Danio rerio: one gene and its partner. The protein of the gene in region 2 interacts with the protein of the main gene of each other region in a pairwise test. Links are inferred from orthologs where the notes say so. Each region holds a gene or a part of one and is shown on either strand. Other genes may lie near its edges.

Region 1 (3,839 bases), on a different chromosome or scaffold from region 2:
AGCTCCCCCTGGTAAAAGAGGAAAGGGGAGATGGGGTGGATAGGGTGGATAGGAGATTCTTCAAATATGAAGGGAGGTAAGACATATTGGGCTCTTTATTGGAGGCTTGGATTCGTGTGATTGGTTTATCAGTGATTGTTGACGCAGGACCAGCTGAGATCAATCAATGCATGTGATGCTCTCGAAATTAGTTTACAAAACTTGACAAATTAACCAAGACTTTTTTTGATTTGAAAATTTGTTCTTCAGCTTAATCTTTTATTTAGTTGCCAATCTACTATTTATATTTATTTAGGTTTTTCCATATAACAACAAATGGAGGAGAAAATAAGTGAGAAAAAGAAACAGGCCAAGCAGAGTATACTTGTGCTGGTATTCTCCTTTTTTATTATTAATTTAAGCATAAATCTAACAAAATAAAATGCATTTTTTTAAAGAAATATTTAGAAAAACATTTAGAAAAATATATCTGTCTTAACAGTCCAGTAGAGGCAATGTATATTCTTTTTTTAATTTGTAATTTATTTGTCTTTTTTATATCTTGTAATTTACTATAAGTTTTATATTTTCAGTTTCCTTTCGTTTTGTACGCTGCATGTTTCAGTTAAATTAAAAGTTTTCCATATTTGTACAGCTAAGTTTTATATACATTTTGTTTTCTATAGCTATATGCATTCCCTTTCTTTTTTTAAACTGTGTTTTGATTAAAGTTTTTATAAACATACACTTAGTTTACTCAAAATGTTTACATCCAATACTCCAATATAAAAGACAGTAACTACAACAAAGCCCCTAACAGCATTTCAAAGATCAAGTAAATATGTTTCGATAAATGCCCAGGTCTGTTGAAAAATGCCTGATTTCAACTGCAAATCTGCAGTCATTTTCACAAATATAAATTCAGCCTCGGTGTCCATTCTGTCAAAGTAGGTCAGCGGGTCTTTATCCAGTTCACTGTAATTATTTTCCAAGCTGTTATTAATAATAAGTGTAGTGCAAAGGTGAGACATACTGAATTGATCAGAGGGAAAGTCATCAAGCAAAAAAAAAATACTTGGTGCATTGGTATGTTTTATCCTTAAACTTTACTAATCTCCCTTTTAACCTCTTGCCAATACACTTGTATTTTGGGGCATTCCCAAAATATGTGAACCTAGTCCCCCGCATCTCCACAATCTCTCCAGCATTGTGACAATCGTAAAGAACTATTGAATTTGGCGACCATTAATGGAACTCTGAAGAACCTCATCTTCATCTTCTAGTCGAACTCGCATTCTAATTCTTTATTCAATCATTTTTTTCTTATTGATATTTTTTAAGATCACGGCTGTTCAGAAGCATTTCTGCGTATGACAGTGTGTACGTGAAAAATATATATATTTTTATTTGATTAGAAAATTTGTCGTTCAGCTTTAGCTGCCATTCACCATGTTTCTCATATAACACTGAAAAAAAATGCTTAATTGGACTAAAGTTTTTAAGGTAAGCGGTTGCAAAAAAATTTTATGGACTGTATTTAAACATTCATTCATTTATTAGTTTTCTTTTTGGCTTGGTCTCTTTAATCAATCAGGGTTCGCCACAGTGGAATGAACCGCCAACTTATCCAGCATATGTTTTACGCAGTGGATGCCCTTCCAGCTGCAACCCTGAATTTAAACAAACACATTATATTTAGTAATGCTCAACTTAAATTCAGCCCATATAAACTATTTGCAACCACTTACCTTAAAAAAGTAAATCCAATGAATAATTATTTAGTGCATTTTATTTTATTTGGCTTTATTATCTTTTTTCAATTTATATAACAATAAATGGAGAATAAGAAAAATAAGTTCACTGGTGAACAACGAAACAGACTTTCTTCGAAGTTGTCCAAAAAGTATTGAACAACTCCCATTCTTGTACTTGGACAATTCTGAATAACATTTTTGATTCAGTTTGATTGTTGACTACTGCATTTGTGCTGGTGTTTACCTGCAGGTAAGCTGGAGCATAGCCAGTGTTGGCACTGCCATCCGAGTCCTGGCTGTATATGATGATCCTCAGGTACCCTGGATAAGAAGGTGCAGTGACCCGACCCTCAGCAGACACAAAAAACATCTGCACCCCGCTGGGCAAGAACATAATCTCCATCCCGGCCTCTCTGAGATTGACCGGGGCCACAGCCTGACGCCGGGACCCCTGGTGTGGGGCATCTGGAAACGCTCTGTTGGCTCCATGAGAGAGTGACAGATGCCCGTCTGTTGGCTGAGGAGTGTAGGCTGGTGGGAGTTCATTAGGCACCGCGAAGCCCACTGGAGGGGAAACAGGGCGAGAAGGGGCCCTTCCTGAGGCCCCTCTGCTGTTAAATGCTCTCTGGGAGTTCTGGAAGACAGGTAGAGCTGGATAAAAGTTACTTGCACAAGATTAAAAAGTTAAATTCCTACCCAATTGATGCTATTTTAAGAATATCCAACAAAAGCACTTGTTTAAAAAAAAAAAGAAAGAAAAAAAAAACATTTTAGTATAGGCTATTTACACACTATTGTAGCACTTTGGCCTACTGATATGTAGATATATAATTTATGAGTTATATATTCAATTTGTTTGTACCTTGTCCTGGAAGACAGGGAGAGTCGGATAAAGTCTCTGACCCGTGTTTGAAGCGGACTCTAGAGCCCCGAGGCGAGCAGTGATGGTGCGCAGAGTCTCTCCCATCTTCAGCTGCGTTTGTCGGGCAGAGTCCCAGCAGCGGCCGGTGCAGCGCCCGCCCCGTGTGTCCACCTGCAACCCACTGAGCAGGTGCCGCCGGCCCAGCCTGTACAGGACCAGAGCCTGGTCTTTATTGCCAGCTTCATCTAACTGAAGTCCGGTATTCAGACACTGCAGAGCTTTATCGTAGTTCTCGCGAATGACACGAATTTCGGCGGGTTCAGGCGTCTGCATGCTCGCGTTTGTAAACGCACAGTCCGAGCTGAAATTGTGAAACGATTAAACAAAAAAGTTGAGTGCGTAAAACGCACGTAAAGCGTGGCCCACTTGCTTATCCAGAGTGCTGCTAATTTATTAACGAGCACATTTCTCTACCATGATGACTCTTGACTAAATGATGTATTGTCACCAAGCAGGTTCAACTAGATTACTGAAATGCGTAATTAAAGTTCAAGCTGTTCTCACACACGCAAACAAAATATTTTAACAGCTGAAAGCGCGCAACAAAGGTTTACATTGATGTGACATATTTCGTAGTTGAGAAGCATAGCAGTCACTGAGACTAGCTCGTCATATAGAAAAAAAGCAGAGGTTGTCTAACTAAGTAGGACGAACGTAACCTTAGTATAAAGAGTACACGTTAGCAGCTGGTCGTGTAGTGGTTATGAAGGATTTAATGGTTCGTTTACCCAAATATGACACTTCTTAATTTCCTACTTTTGGGTTTTTTTCCCGTTGAAGGAAATATATTTTGGGGGAGAAGACACCTGTAACCACATCAATAGTAGAAAAACACTGTGGAAGTCAGTGGTTGCAGTTTTTACAGCTTTGGTATCAGTTTAACAGATGAAAGAAACTTAAACATAAGTTATGGGAATGAAACCCAGACTGTTGGGTGAATAAACTGGTGCGATTACAACGTTGTAAAGGAATATTTACCATGTTAGTCGTTAGTTTTTTAATCTGTGCTTGCTTCTTGAATTAAGAAAAAAAAATCTGGTATAAAACACCCATAGTAATTTCCTGTTACCAGTCAATAGGTGCCAGTTACCGGCGATGTTTAGAACACCTTGTGTACAATAAACTAGGCTTACAACCAATAAAGAATTAATGTTAATTCACTTAAGCAGAAGTTCACAATTTGT
Region 2 (3,832 bases):
GAGCTCTGAAGCCATTGGCCCGATTCCGTAAGCTACGGCTCTCACTGACACAGCCCAACACCTATTGAACATACATTTATAAAGGATTGGTGTTTTTATACCTCCAGTTCTTTCTCATCAAACGCTTTGAGCAGGTGTTGTGGAATGACTTCGTTGAAGCCTTTCTGCAGGGCCAGGAACTGAGCCTCGATGCCCCTCAGGAACCGCCAGTTCACATACAGCCTGCGCAGAAACAGGACATTTGATGACACCCACAGACAAGCATCAGAAAAGCAGGACTGAGAGGTTGACAGGTGTGAATATCTTACCTCACATACTCCTTCTTGGTGTCCTGCGTGACTGGAATGCTCTTGCCATTGGGTTTGAGCTCATGCTGAATGATCTCTCCATATGCATTGTGTTCAACGCAGAACGTGTGGTCCAACACCCCGGTGATGTCATTATCTCTGAACACAAAAACAGATAGAGGAAAAATAATTACTATTAATAGTGCACACACAATTATATATTCATGTATGTATATTAAAGTGATTAAAATATACTATATCATTTGCATAATTTTCTATGTATGTACATAGGGATGTCCAGATCCGATCACGTAATTGGAAAATTTGGGGTAGATCACACGCTTTCAGACGTTAATTCTCATTATTTTTTAACACATCTATAGTTTATGCGGTGGCACAGAGTTAGACCTCTTCCTTGACAGCAACGCGTGCAGCATGACATTACTTTGTTACAGAGACGCTATTGGTTAAATGTCAGCAAAGTAGAACATACTTGAAGCGCAAAGCGCGAGTATGTCTGCGGTCTGGAGGTATTATAAAGTTGATGAAGACAACATTGCTATAGAAAACTGTGAGATATGTAAACTTGGAACTGTCTTCTGGGTATTTTAGAATGAGATGCTATTTGTTTTATATTAGTTTTTGTTTTATATTTACTGTTGCACTAAAGTCCAAAAGTGAAGAATTGATGTTATTAATTAATTGATTGTTCAAGCTACTTCACAGAAGTGCTCTATTTGTTAACAGATTTGTTGAATGTCAAAATAAGGTTAATTACAAAAAAGGAACATCCTGGATCTGTTTCTTTGCTCTTCTTTATTCTTTTTTATTTTTCATTGAAGTATTAGATCGGGTTTCAGTATCGGTAGACACGAAATCAAATGACTCGGACTCGAGGGCAAAAAAACCTGATCGGAAAATCCCTATATGTACATATATCTGTTATGTGTTTTTATCCCTTATTTGCCACTGGATTTAATATTTAGATAATTACATTTTCGTATAAAGCAACCTGGAATTCATAACTGCATTTTAGGATCATCTAATAACTACAGTATTTTCTATAAAAAATGTTATTTCTTTCTGTTTGCCATTTAAATGTTTTAACAGCTTATTTTAAAACACCCTTTAGTTTTAGAAGTAAATTGATATGTTTTAGATTTAGTTATTTTATTTTAAAATTAGCCGATAAAACATGCCTTTTGCAACTGGTTGAAATGTAATAAAGTCTCTCGCTTGAAATTTAATTAATTTTAATAATTTATTCTTATTAACTTTCTTTATTTATCTGGGGTTGACACAGCGCCAACATATGTTTTACGCAGTCTTTCCAGCTGCAACCCATCACTGGGAAACATCCATACGCACTCATAAACTATCTTTGGACTGCGGGGGAAACCGGAGCATCCGGAGGAAACCCACGTGGTCACAAGGAGAACATGCAAACTCCACACAGAAATGGCAACTGACCCAGCCAAAGCTCGAACCAGTGACCTTCTTGCTGTGAGGTGATCGTGCTATCCACTGCACCATCGTGACACCCCCATTTAATGATATATGCAATTAGACAAAATAATAATTATGGCTATGATATAGGCAACCTCCCCCCCATACTCTTTACCCCCACTCTCTTTTATGTATGCATTTTGGTTTGGTTTATTTACTAACATAATTTACATTAATAAGATGTACCCTTGAGGTATTAATATGGGCTTTTTACTTAAAAGTTTGTAACTTTAGAAAAGGTACCACACAAGTGACAGCTCGGGTACCTTTATTTCTGAGAGTGTATAATAACAACATTACATCAAATTAATCCTTCTATTTTAGTTAACTACAATACCTTTGTTTTTGGAAAGACACTTATGCGAGATTTATATACTCTAAATGTTTTATTAATTTTTTATATTAAATTTAATGATATTATTGGTAAAATACTCATACTATATTACTAGTCTATTAGTAATTACTACTAATAATACTACATATCAAAGAATTCATCATGCATGCAATAGATGGATATGTTAAGCACACTGACAGGATCCAGACGAGGCTGTTGTGCAAGTCCGGATCCACTGACTCCATGTCATCCAGAGTGATAGGTTTGCCTAGCAACTGCTTGTAGAAGGGCAGAGTGAAGCCCCCGTCTATATAGTGACCATGGAAAACAGCCATTCCCATAATCCTCCCCACAAAGTGGAAATAAGACAAATGCTCCTATAAAACAAACATAAAAACATGTGAATTTTGTAAAGCGCTTGCATTCTAGACAGCTGCACGATATTGGAAAAAATCTGATATTGTGATATTTTATTTTTCTGCAATAAATATTGCAATATAAATACGGTTTCAGATGATGGTTTGAATAGCACTATTAGATGGTTTTCTGGGGATTTGCGCACAGAAATGGAATAAATCACAATGCAAAAAATGCCTTTCTTACTTTGTTTTGTCTTGTTTCTAGTCCAAAAATCAAAAAATTCTTAGACCAAGTAAAATATTGTTTAGTTTTCACTGATTTTGCTTGTTTTAAGGAAAGTATCTGCCAGTGGGGTAAGTTAATACTATTGTTTTTGCTATTAAATGTAGATATTTAGACTAGAAACAAGAAATGGCCTTTGCAACTCAAAGGCAGAGTTAGAGTTAGCAGAGTTATAACTGTAATTGAGATTTATAATTGAAATCACACAAGCATAAATTGATATAACAAATTAGGTACTATAAAAGAAACACTTTATATTTTTATAAAAAGCCAATCTCAAAATCTCAGCAGTGTCTTGTCTTAAGAATTATCAGTGTAGTTCAGAAGCTCGTGCACTTTCACTCACTGGATTGACAGCCGAGTCCGGGTTGATCTGTAGCGTGTAGATGTCATCTCGTGAATACTGGAACAGCCCATAGTATGGATTTAACATCTCGTGTGACAGCAAGTATAACCATTCCCTATGACACAAAAGCGCACAAACATTGGCACAAAATATTGACAGACATAAATCCACCATGACCCAATTTCACATCGTTATACTCTTATTCTACCACTAGATGGAAACAAGAGCCTGAAACAAAACATTTTTGACCCATTTTAACTTTCAGAATATTCAGCTTTTATATTAATGAAACAGAACATGATTCAAGAGCTGATTTAATCTATTAAGAATTGATTGTACTATGAAAATGAATAACATTATGGGTTAACAGGTTTCACTTTTGAAGACCTCAATGTATCATTAGGAGCTACAGTTATTAATTATGTTTTGTCTTTGAGTTTTTTCGGGACTCTCAAAGAACTTTAATAGTGACACTGGATGATCTATATTTGTCTAGAACTTTGGTTACTTTTCTTAATTGTAGTGTAAATAAACACACTGTTTACCCAGTAAAAAACAGCTCAGTTCAAAGGGACCCATTATCGACTGAAAAAATGCAGAACTTTGTTAAAACAAGGCTTTTTAAATGCTTTTGTGTTGTTACGAAGCATTTTGTTTTTAACCATACTTGAAATTATAGCTGACAAGCATTAAAATGCTGTGGGAAGTCATATTATT

The links.
Region 1: the proteins of smurf2 (region 2) and sparta interact in a two-hybrid assay, tested with the Homo sapiens proteins (2 studies listed by BioGRID and IntAct). The link is inferred for Danio rerio from reciprocal best matches to the Homo sapiens genes SMURF2 and SPART.

What each region holds. Positions count from the first base shown.
Region 1 is NC_133185.1:39,919,825-39,923,663, forward strand, and holds the start of sparta (spartin a), read right to left. Parts: upstream 3,006-3,839; 5' UTR 2,929-3,005; coding exon 2,596-2,928; intron 2,368-2,595; coding exon 1,978-2,367; intron 1-1,977. UniProt on the Homo sapiens protein: Lipophagy receptor that plays an important role in lipid droplet (LD) turnover in motor neurons.
Region 2 is NC_133178.1:24,033,350-24,037,181, forward strand, and holds part of smurf2 (E3 ubiquitin-protein ligase SMURF2), read right to left. Parts: intron 3,231-3,832; coding exon 3,116-3,230; intron 2,505-3,115; coding exon 2,326-2,504; intron 447-2,325; coding exon 309-446; intron 223-308; coding exon 102-222; intron 1-101. UniProt on the Homo sapiens protein: E3 ubiquitin-protein ligase which accepts ubiquitin from an E2 ubiquitin-conjugating enzyme in the form of a thioester and then directly transfers the ubiquitin to targeted substrates.